Xenopus tropicalis: one gene and its partners. The protein of the gene in region 3 purifies or fractionates together with the protein of the main gene of each other region. This does not show direct contact. Links are inferred from orthologs where the notes say so. Each region holds a gene or a part of one and is shown on either strand. Other genes may lie near its edges.

The links. Proteins that work in one complex are often made in the same cells at the same time.
Region 1: the proteins of dnajb1 (region 3) and pycr3 purify together in Homo sapiens (affinity purification with mass spectrometry; 3 studies listed by BioGRID and IntAct, with this or other methods). This does not show direct contact. The link is inferred for Xenopus tropicalis from reciprocal best matches to the Homo sapiens genes DNAJB1 and PYCR3.
Region 2: the proteins of dnajb1 (region 3) and bag5 purify together in Homo sapiens (affinity purification with mass spectrometry; 3 studies listed by BioGRID and IntAct, with this or other methods). This does not show direct contact. The link is inferred for Xenopus tropicalis from reciprocal best matches to the Homo sapiens genes DNAJB1 and BAG5.

What each region holds. Positions count from the first base shown.
Region 1 is NC_030682.2:151,251,592-151,255,734, reverse strand, and holds the start of pycr3 (pyrroline-5-carboxylate reductase 3), read right to left. Parts: upstream 2,812-4,143; 5' UTR 2,758-2,811; coding exon 2,667-2,757; intron 1,019-2,666; coding exon 954-1,018; intron 713-953; coding exon 533-712; intron 1-532.
Region 2 is NC_030684.2:98,469,438-98,472,994, forward strand, and holds bag5 (BAG family molecular chaperone regulator 5), read right to left. Parts: upstream 2,201-3,557; 5' UTR 2,167-2,200; coding exon 814-2,166; 3' UTR 512-813; downstream 1-511. UniProt on the Homo sapiens protein: Co-chaperone for HSP/HSP70 proteins. It functions as a nucleotide-exchange factor promoting the release of ADP from HSP70, thereby activating HSP70-mediated protein refolding.
Region 3 is NC_030679.2:134,724,357-134,728,598, forward strand, and holds the start of dnajb1 (dnaJ homolog subfamily B member 1), read right to left. Parts: upstream 2,811-4,242; 5' UTR 2,764-2,810; intron 1-2,763. UniProt on the Homo sapiens protein: Interacts with HSP70 and can stimulate its ATPase activity. Stimulates the association between HSC70 and HIP. Negatively regulates heat shock-induced HSF1 transcriptional activity during the attenuation and recovery phase period of the heat shock response.

The DNA.
Region 1 (4,143 bases), on a different chromosome or scaffold from region 3:
TGCCACAGACAGTCACTATTTATTGGGCTGGGGGGCTGTTTGTGCCTCTGGGTACTGGGAATGCCAGGGGGGCTGTAAGGTGCCACAGACACTCACTATTTATTGGGCTGGGGGGGGGCTGTTTGTGCCTCTGGGTACTGGGAATGCCAGGGGGGCTGTAAGGTGCCACAGACAGTCACTATTTATTGGGCTGGGGGGGGGGGCTGTTTGTGCCTCTGGGTACTGGGAATGCCAGGGCCTATTTTGAATCCCAGTCCAAGCCTGGGTGGGTACAAGTATAAGCCACACCCTTCCCTAATATCTGTGGGCATTTGGCACCATCATGCAACTCCTTGAAAGATGGGTATATAAAGACTACATTTCCCAGAATTCCCTTTCCGGAAGCACTTCCTTCCTGCCTAAGACCAGGGTACTAGGGCTGCTGTACACTGCGCTTGTACGCCCCCACCCAGGGGCATTGAATTCATGGGAATATTCTTATTATTGAGTATTCTATATACATTCATTCCTGAATCACAGCCACTATACCCACCGTCTCCAGGGTCTGCAGCGTGACCCCGGCCGCCATGGAAACGATCACATGCTCAGCAGTCACTTCTGGGGAAATCTCTTCCAGGACCGAGGGAATGATATGGGGCTTAGTAGCCAAAAACACCACTCGGCAGCGAGACACCACCGAGCGGTTATTGTGCGACGTGCGGCAGCCGCGAAGCTGAGGGGAATAACCCAGAATTAGCTCCCTGTACTGCTCTGATTCTGTTTTATTATTATTATCATTTACCTCCAATTGCAACTGAACTAACTGTAAAAAAATTCCCTTTAGATGGGAAAATAACCATAAATGTATTACAGGTTATAAGTCCTGCTATGAGGTATAATGCCATTCACAAATAACCAAATGTAATTAGCTGCCCCCCCCCCACCAAAAAAAAAATAACACCAACATGGGTTACCTTGAATTTCTCCAGATTGCGGTCCGTTGGGGCACTCACCGTAACATTCTGAGCCGCAATTTTCCCTTTTAAAATATATATAAATGTATTAATAAGCTGTTGATCCCCATAAGGTTGTGTATTATAAGGGATAATGTACCCCCTACTGTATACGATAAGGATATTAGCAGTCACTGAGGGGTTCTGTGCCCATATAAAGGCACAAGGCTGCAGGCTGAGTTATACAGGGAACTCTGAGTATCACTCATGTATTATAAGGGATAATGTACCCCCTACTGTAAATGATAAGGATATTAGAAGTCACTGAGGGGTTCTGTGCCCCCCATATAAAGGCACAAGGCTGCAGGCTGAGTTATACAGGGAACTCTGAGTATCACTCATGTATTATAAGGGATAATGTACCCCCTACTGTAAATGATAAGGATATTAGCAGTCACTGAGGGGTTCTGTGCCCATATAAAGGCACAAGGCTGCAGGCTGAGTTATACAGGGAACTCTGAGTATCACTCATGTATTATAAGGGATAATGTACCCCCTACTGTAAATGATAAGGATATTAGCAGTCACTGAGGGGTTCTGTGCCCCCCATATAAAGGCACAAGGCTGCAGGCTGAGTTATACAGGGAACTCTGAGTATCACTCATGTATTATAAGGGATAATGTACCCCCTACTGTAAATGATAAGGATATTAGCAGTCACTGAGGGGTTCTGTGCCCCCCATATAAAGGCACAAGGCTGCAGGCTGAGTTATACAGGGAACTCTGAGTATCACTCATGTATTATAAGGGATAATGTACCCCCTACTGTAAATGATAAGGATATTAGCAGTCACTGAGGGGTTCTGTGCCCCCCATATAAAGGCACAAGGCTGCAGGCTGAGTTATACAGGGAACTCTGAGTATCACTCATGTATTATAAGGGATAATGTACCCCCTACTGTAAATGATAAGGATATTAGCAGTCACTGAGGGGTTCTGTGCCCATATAAAGGCACAAGGCTGCAGGCTGAGTTATACAGGGAACTCTGAGTATCACTCATGTATTATAAGGGATAATGTACCCCCTACTGTAAATGATAAGGATATTAGCAGTCACTGAGGGGTTCTGTGCCCCCCATATAAAGGCACAAGGCTGCAGGCTGAGTTATACAGGGAACTCTGAGTATCACTCATGTATTATAAGGGATAATGTACCCCCTACTGTAAATGATAAGGATATTAGCAGTCACTGAGGGGTTCTGTGCCCCCCATATAAAGGCACAAGGCTGCAGGCTGAGTTATACAGGGAACTCTGAGTATCACTCATGTATTATAAGGGATAATGTACCCCCTACTGTAAATGATAAGGATATTAGCAGTCACTGAGGGGTTCTGTGCCCATATAAAGGCACAAGGCTGCAGGCTGAGTTATACAGGGAACTCTGAGTATCACTCATGTATTATAAGGGATAATGTACCCCCTACTGTAAATGATAAGGATATTAGCAGTCACTGAGGGGTTCTGTGCCCCCCATATAAAGGCACAAGGCTGCAGGCTGAGTTATACAGGGAACTCTGAGTATCACTCATGTATTATAAGGGATAATGTACCCCCTACTGTAAATGATAAGGATATTAGCAGTCACTGAGGGGACAGCAGTACCAGTGTAACTATGGGCAGTGCCAGGGGACAAGGGTATAACAGTAACAGTGGGGCAGGAGTTGGGGCGGTACCTTCGCGCAGAATCCCCTCCAGGACCCCCTGAGCCATACGCCCGGCACCGATACATCCCACCGGCACAGGAACATGCGGAGCGGCGGCCATAGCTGTGAGGGACTGGCAGTGCGACCAGCCAATCAGCGGCCGCGGGAGGAGGCAAATGGGAGGTGTGAGCCAAGGCAGGGATGTAATTGGTGCGAGGTAAGTGACGTCACATACCCGATCTTTTATAAGCGCCTCCCTGAGACCGCTCCGCTAATGAGACCGGGGGGACAGGTGAGTGTGTGGCGTTTCCCGCGGAAAGAGGTGCCCGGTCCGGGAGGGGCTGGGATGGAAGTTTTGTGCGGTTGGCTCCGGCTGTAAGGCTCTGATAGTGTATGGGGGGCCAGTCAGTCCGGGGGAGATAGTGTTACTAAGTGTAACGGGGGGGGGGGTTAGTGGATACAGGGGGATAGTAGTTTTAAAACTTTAGGGTTGAGGTCGGGGCCCCGGGCACAGGGGGGGGGGGGGATATTCCTGTGAGATCTGTTCCCCCTCAGCCCCTTGTACCGCTCTGTCCCCTCATTCCTTCCTGCATAGTAGGTTCGGTTGGTAAATGACTCCCATTAAACTCACCCTTCTGTCTCCCACCTCATCCCCCCACAGTGTGGCCCCAAAAGCCTCCCAGCCCCGGAGCAAAGGGTTAATTTAACCCTCTAGTTACTCAAAAGGCATCAGCCTCTTCCTTGTACCTATCTAATGTATCTGCCAGTACCACTGATTCAGGGGGGGGGATCCCACAACTTCCCAGCCCCCCTGTAACTCCCCTTCCTTGTACCTATCTAATGTATCTGCCAGTACCACTGATAAGGGGGGGGGGGATCCCACAACTTCCCAGCCCCCCCCTGTAACCCCCCTTCCTTGTACCTATCTAATGTATCTGCCAGTACCACTGATTCAGGGGGGGGTCCCACAACTTCCCAGCCCCCCCTGTAACTCCCCTTCCTTGTACCTATCTAATGTATCTGCCAGTACCACTGATTCAGGGGGGGGTCCCACAACTTCCCAGCCCCCCTGTAACTCCCCTTCCTTGTACCTATCTAATGTATCTGCCAGTACCACTGATTCAGGGGGGGATCCCACAACTTCCCAGCCCCCCCTGTAACTCCCCTTCCTTGTACCTATCTAATGTATCTGCCAGTACCACTGATTCAGGGGGGGGTCCCACAACTTCCCAGCCCCCCCTGTAACTCCCCTTCCTTGTACCTATCTAATGTATCTGCCAGTACCACTGATTCAGGGGGGGGATCCCACAACTTCCCAGCCCCCCTGTAACTCCCCTTCCTTGTACCTATCTAATGTATCTGCCAGTACCACTGATTCAGGGGGGGGGTCCCACAACTTCCCAGCCCCCCTGTAACTCCCCTTCCTTGTACCTATCTAATGTATCTGCCAGTACCACTGATTCAGGGGGGGGGGATCCCACAACTTCCCAGCTCCCCCTGTAACTCC
Region 2 (3,557 bases), on a different chromosome or scaffold from region 3:
TTTGGCCAAGAGCTTGTGCAAGATTTAATGCGATAAAATGTGAATTTTTGTATATCTTTTTTTAAAAAAAAACCTTATTCAATTTGAATTTTTTGCCCATTTTGAATAGCATGTGCTATGCTTTAAGAATGTTTTCGCTGTCTGTACAGAATTACGAGATGCACATTTTGGTTTGTGAAGCACATTCTCTAAATATATAATGACACAATGGTGCTGATTTATTAAAAAATGAGTTTAGAGCTTAATACATGAAAACCCACATTCACCCTTAATTTCTGTTTATTACTGGGTAAAAGTTAGAGTTCATCATTTGATAAACACACTTCTAAAAATCCCATAGGAATTAACAGAAATCAAGCTGAACTACATCTTTTAATTCTGCATGTGCTGCAATGTCTATTTTGTAATTAGATACCTTAAACGCAGCAGCCTTTTTACACTGAACAATATAATTAAAAATGTACATACTATTCACTTGTGTACATAACAATGACAATGTTGTACCCCCATCAAAAAAGACAGAACTTTTATTTAAGAATCAGCACAAAAATGAGAAGAGAGATACAACTAGAAATATGCCACTTATTGTTCCACTTGATAAAGTCAAACTGGGATATTTAGCATTAAACATTCTATAATTTTTCGCCATTGGTACATGAAAACAAAAACTGGCTAGCTTTTGACTGAAGCTTTGTTTTATGACAGATAATTGGCTTAGTAAAAACCCTATCTTGCAATGATAATGCAAGGATGAAACTGAGACATCTTTACAGCCATATTTAAAGTGCAAGCAAAGCGAAAGCAGTGTTTTTTTTAGTATTCCCATTCATCAGTTTTCATATCAAGATATCCAAGGATATTATTTGCAAGCTTCACAGCTTGTTTTCTTGCAGCCTTTGTACGGCCATCCTGTGAATCAATGGCATCAAGAGCCAGCAATTGTTTAGTAATAAATTCTTCTAATCTCATATAATTTTTATCAGCTCTCTTCCCATCAAAGAAGAGGACTTCCTTTTGAAGTTCAGATAAATGTCCAAAGACAGTCCATACAGCTATATAACATGGAGGCTCTGAGACTGTGTGTTCTGGTAAACTCTGGCGCTTTTCGAGAGCTTCTTTTAGATCAATGTAGGTGATGACAGTTTGGACCTCAACTACAGCTCGTCTTCTAGCTTCACGAATGCAAGGATTCCTCCCTACACTAACTTCATCCAAGCTAGCTATGAGGCCCTGCAGCTCTGACTTTGTACCCATATAGATGTCAGACATATGCTGCTGCACTTCTAAAAGACTGTTCTTTATTTTTGCTGCTTCTTTGCGAATCTCTTCTATTTTTACAATTGACTGGTTTTGGCCCAAGTCATAAGCACTTCCCAACTCAGCTTCATCCTCTAAATCCAAATATTTCAGCAAACTGTTGATTTCCTTAACAACTTCTTTGCGATACTCTCTTATGTCTGTGTGGCCAGAAACATCCAGAGCATCCAGGTTTGCAATTAATCCAGTAAGAGTGCAAGATAAATGCCTGTATGTTTCATTGTCATTGACGCCAGCTAGAAGAGCTATGAGACTGCATCTGGCTTTGTTCACATCACACATAATTGAGTTAATTTTAGAAACTGTTGGATGTGCCTCAGCAGAGAGAGGGAGAGAAAGTACTTGTTGTTTAGAAGAGCTTTCTAAAATTTCTTGAATGGCAAGAACTTTAGTTAAAGTTCGGTACCTAGCTTTTCTTAGAGGGATCTTTCCCTCGGTTTTTACTTGAGTAAGTCTTTTCAAAATATTCTGAATTCCTTCCTCAAATTCATCTGTTCTCTGACCTTCCCCACTAAATTGTGTAGTATGTAGCGCTACCAAACTCTGAGTTTCACTAAAGATCTTTTCGATCTCAAGTCTGCAAGGATGGGTTGCATTCTGCTCCAGTTCCTTTAAAACTCTTTCTGTCTCTTCAGTAGCTTTCTTTTGGGCTTGTAGAATGTTTCCTTTTCCCTCTGTCTCAATAGATTCTATTTCAAATAACTGTTTAGTTAAATCTTTTTCAAGCTTTTTATAAGTTGGGTCACTCTTTAGACCACTAAATGTCACCACTTGTTGTTCAATCTCTTTGACCTTCTTCTGTATTTCTTGAAGAGCTGTGACTGAAGCATGTTGATTACCCATATCCATACTCAATACAGCAATTTCTTAGAAGATACTGGTGCTAAAAAAAAAACCAAAAACAAAAAGGTAAAGATGCCATTCCTAAGACATGTTTATTTAAACAAAAAACAGGTATTGTCTAACCATTACATTACATTACATTTATTTATAAAGCGCCAACATATTCCGCAGCGCTGTACAATAAGTGGGTTACATACATTGGACATACAGAGTAACATATAAAGCAATCAATAACCGATACAAGAGGTGAAGAGGGCCCTGCCCAAAAGAGCTTACAACCATCTCTTCATCCATGTATATATACTGTATATATATATATATATATATATATATATATATATATATATACTGATTTGAATAATGTTGATTTGAATAAAACTTCTATATTTTCTTAAGACCTGTGAGTGCGGACTCTCTCTACAGCTACTCCATCTATTATTTTGGGACTGCACCCAGGCTCCCTTGGACCTACTTATACGTGAGTGCCTGTCTTCTTGCAACATGCTATATATATATATATATATATATATATATAATTGAAACCTATGCCCCACGCACTTCACTTAAAAACTGGAAGGATTTTTCTTAAACTGTTTTTAATAAAATAATGTTCTAGTTATACTTTTCTTTCTCCTCCTCTATCTCCAAAAATTCCTGCATAGAACTTAAGTATGAAACTATGTAGCTAAATTAAGTAGAAAACTGAATCCCGTTTAGCAGAAAGTACTGGCCATGATGCCCTCTTACACTTTTCCATGCTCACACAAATTTTGAGGCCAGTGCACACAGCACACCAGTGAATCTGGTGTGAAACATAAAGGGAAGATAATGCTAGTTAGTCAAAGTTTATACCAGTGCTGTCCAACTTCTGCGGTGCCGAGGGCCGGAATTTCTTTAGCATACACGGTGGAGGGCCGCTAATGGAAGCCAGTTTTGGCCACTCCCCTTTTTTTGAACCACACCTACTTCAAACCACACCCATTTTATCACAATGGTGGTAGTGCACCAAAAACCCAAATGCTTGGTCCTCACTGCGGGGATATCAACAGTTATTCATATGTGAAAGAATTATATTATGTCATATTAAGACACACCCTTAAATCCATATGCCTCCTCCTCCCCTGTGGATAGCACAGCAACCCCCAGCAACATAATTACACACCTTAGGGACCATTTAATGGCTGTTTCCAACTACTAACAAACTCCCAGAACAAACCCCTGCCAGGTTCACCTCTCACAGGCAGCATAGGGCAGGCAGAGTATGGCATACACAGACCTCCTCTGATGAAGCGCCACACGGTGCGAAACGCGTTAGGAGAGTGGGTAGCATTAGGCACTGGGATACCCCTGTCCTTTTTGGTATGATTTATATGTTAGTTTTTGTTGTATTTATTTAA
Region 3 (4,242 bases):
GCAAGAACTAAAAGCCCAATAAAGTGAAAGTAAAAGAAGGAAACACATCCTTGACACGACGCACAATTTTCAGAAATGCACAATAACAGGGTTATGCAGGTACATAGGAAATACCTAGCCAGTAACCCATAGCAACCACATACTTATATTTACATGATTCTTCTTGCAGGGTTGTGGTACAAGACTAGCAACTTACTAGTAAGGGCTAAGACACACAAAGCTTCTTGTTGTGGCTACAAATATAGACAATGCTGATCATTTACTGATAATTGTCTCTACGTGAATTTTAGCAGAGGCAATTTCTTAGTATTGTCTATGGCAAGGAATTTAATTTTCTGGTGTTTAGTAGCCATGACAAGTAGCTGCTACTAAGTAGCTCTGTGTGCTTTGGCCCTAAGGGTGCCCACAGTAGCAATAACACCACAAAAATGAAAGTGTTACAAAGGGGTTGTTCAAGGCTGAGTTAACTTTTAATATGATGAAGAGAGTAATTTTCCGAGACAATTTGCAGTTGGTCTGCATTTTTTTTTTATTATTTGTAGTTTTTTAATCATTTCAGTTTTTGTTCAGCAGCTCTCCCGTTTGGAGTTTCAGCAGCAATCTGGTCTCTAGCCTCCAAATTACCTAAGCAACCATGGTGTTGTTTAAATGAAAGACTGATATATGAATAGGAGAGGACTTGGAAGAGAACAATAAGCACTAAAAAGTAACAATAACAATTAAACTGTAGTTTCACAGAGCAATAGTTTTTGTTGGCTGCCGGGGTCAGTGACCCCCCCGTTTAAAAGCTGCAAGGAGTTAGAAGAAGAAGAAGGCAAATAATTCAAAAACTATAAATAATGAAGACCAACTGAAAAGTAATGAAAGTATAATATACTGTTGCCCTGCGCAGGTAAAAGTTGTGTGTTTGTTTAGAAAGACACACGGGGCGATTAGTCGCCGCAACTTTTAATTAAGTCAGTCGCGGCAACTAATCGCAGTAGCTCTTCTGCTATAGGATAGAATAGCAGTCGCTGTGACTAATCACTCACGAGGTTTCGCTAAGCAGATTAGTTGCCATGACTAAAAAGTCGCGGCAACTAATCGCCCCATGTGTCTTTGCCCCTATAGTTTATATAAACAAAGCTGCTGTGTAGCCATAGGGGCGGCCATTAGAGATAGAAAAAAAGGCACAGGTTACATAGCAGATAATATATAATCTCTATAAAATACAATGGGAATCTGCACAGATTATCTGTTTTCTGCTATGTAACCTGGGCCTTTTTGAAGCTTTTTAGTGTAACAAGCACACCTGGCTGGGCACTCCCTGCCTGGCACAGCACCTACGGTATATCCCTGTAGGGTGTGATACTTCCATTAGGGTGGGGCCCATATTTCTACCAATTAATGCTGATTTTGCTTTCTGTCAATCCTGCTATGCCCCCAGCACTCAGGCCCTTCACATATAAACATTATTTATGGCTATGCAGGGATTTCCATCCAATTGTTGCTGAGCTTTGATCTCCATACCCCTCTGGCAGTGATGCTGAGAGGGGTAAGCAGCCAAAAAAGGGTATTGTGACAGGTTACTCCAGGGCTGTACAGAGAGTAAGGAGACCAGCTCATCCCACTATTTGGGGCCAGTACATAATAGTATTACACAAGTTTCCCAAATGAAATAATGCCAATGGGCTCCCTGCTGAGCAGTACAGGTATAGGACCCATTATCCAGAATGTTCAGGACCAAGGGTATTCCGGATATGGGGTCTTTCCGTAATTTGGATCTTTATACCTTAAGTCTACTAAATAATCAATAAAACATTTTTTTAAACCCAATAGGATTGTTTTGCCTCCAATAAGGGGTAATTATATCTTAGTTGGGATCAAGTACAGGTACTGTTTTATTATTACAGAGAAAAGGGAATCATTTAACCATTAAATAAACCTAATAGGGCTGTTCTGCCCCAATAAGGGGTAATTATATCTTAGTTGGGATCAAGTACAGGTACTGTTTTATTATTACAGAGAAAAGGGAATCATTTAACCATTAAATAAACCCAATAGGGCTGTTCTGCCCCCAATAAGGGGTAATTATATCTTAGTTGGGATCAAGTACAGGTACTGTTTTATTATTACAGAGAAAAGGGAATCATTTAACCATTAAATAAACCCAATAGGGCTGTTCTGCCCCCAATAAGGGGTAATTATAACTTAGTTGGGATCAAGTACAGGTACTGTTTTATTATTACAGAGAAAAGGGAATCAGTTTTAAAATTCTGAATTGTTTGATTATAACGGAGTCTATGGGAGACAGGCTTTCCATAATTTGGATCTTTCTGCATAACGGGTTTCCAGATAAGGGATCCCATACCTGTACTACACTACCCAAGTACAGCTGCCCCTTGAGTACCCCCCAGTTAGTTATTATGGGTTGATTCAGGTATATAGACTCCCCCCCCCAAACAACAATGAGCTGCCCCATTCCCTAAGCCTATAGATATGCAGGTATACCCGGGAATTACTGGTCCCGATTTTACTGTAACTGCCTCATATTAGGAGAATTATGAGAGTAACTGACAGAAGGCAGAAGGGCCCCTAACAACAGACACACCATTATCCCCTATGCAGACACATTCTGTTCCTTTCTCATTATCTAACGATCAGTGGCACCCCTATTGCCCATCAGCAAATGGAACATCCCCAAACAGCCCGGCAGCGCTATACGCACAGATGTGCCAGAAGCCACAGACAGAGCAATACCCCATCCCGTCCCGCAGTACGTACCTTAGCACCAATCGCTTGTCCGTATGCTCCTCCTGTCAACTCTCGGCCCCTCTCTTGTAGGTGCAGCTCCACCTCCAGAACCTTCCAGATCTTTCTTCCGTACTCTGGCAACGTCGCCTGTCCGCCCCCCCTCAAGCTGACCAATCAGACACTGGAAACATTATTAGGGTCACGCCCCCATGCAGAGGATTGGCGGAGAGGCGACTCAGTCAGGCATCGCTTTTCCGTGAGAGCCACGCCTACTGATTCTCAGGGCTGCTTATCCTGACTGGGTACCTGCCCAGCTGGTTATTAGTAAACATACATCCATTTCCCAGAAGCACAGCAGCTTTGTGGCACTCCTTGTTTAGGTTATTCTAGGGAGGAAAATGATAGTTAAAGAGATACTGTCATCATTTTTATACTATATGTAACACCTATTTGGCCTATTTAAGGACCAAACCCAGGCTAGTGATAGGTATAGAGCATGTGTTACATGCGACCTTAATGCACAGGAGTGGGCCTCCGCTATATGGGAGGTACTAATGGAGCTGAGGGTGTAGTTGTACTACAACTAGATAGAGCTTATGTGGTGCAGATAGAATAATGGACGCCAGAAAGGTTCTTTCTCATGAACTATAGTACAAGTTTATTGGACAAGGCACAACTTAATAGTGCCGCAGGGATTATACTAAAAAGTCGCGGCAACTAATCGCCCCATGTGTCTTTGCCCCTATAGTTTATATAAACAAAGCTGCTGTGTAGCCATAGGGGCGGCCATTAGAGATAGAAAAAAAGGCACAGGTTACATAGCAGATAATATATAATCTCTATAAAATACAATGGGAATCTGCACAGATTATCTGTTTTCTGCTATGTAACCTGGGCCTTTTTGAAGCTTTTTAGTGTAACAAGCACACCTGGCTGGGCACTCCCTGCCTGGCACAGCACCTACGGTATATCCCTGTAGGGTGTGATACTTCCATTAGGAAGTAGGAGCTTTGTGGCACTCCTTGTTTAGGTTATTCTAGGGAGGAAAATGATAGTTAAAGAGATACTGTCATCATTTTTATACTATATGTAACACCTATTTGGCCTATTTAAGGACCAAACCCAGGCTAGTGATAGGTATAGAGCATGTGTTACATGCGACCTTAATGCACAGGAGTGGGCCTCCGCTATATGGGAGGTACTAATGGAGCTGAGGGTGTAGTTGTACTACAACTAGATAGAGCTTATGTGGTGCAGATAGAATAGAATAGTTTATTGGACAAGGCACAACTTAATAGTGCCGCAGGGATTATACTCACAGACACAGCAGATTGAATGGTCACAGAGGATAACAGCAGATGTGACCCTTAAGGAACAGTATAACCCACTTGAAAGGATATGCAGAGTATTAGCTGTATACCAGGAATGGATGCCCTTTACTGGAACAGATCCCCTCCAGCCAACTATGGTTCAGGGTGAGGAACTGCCTGAATCCTGCGTCTTAACTGT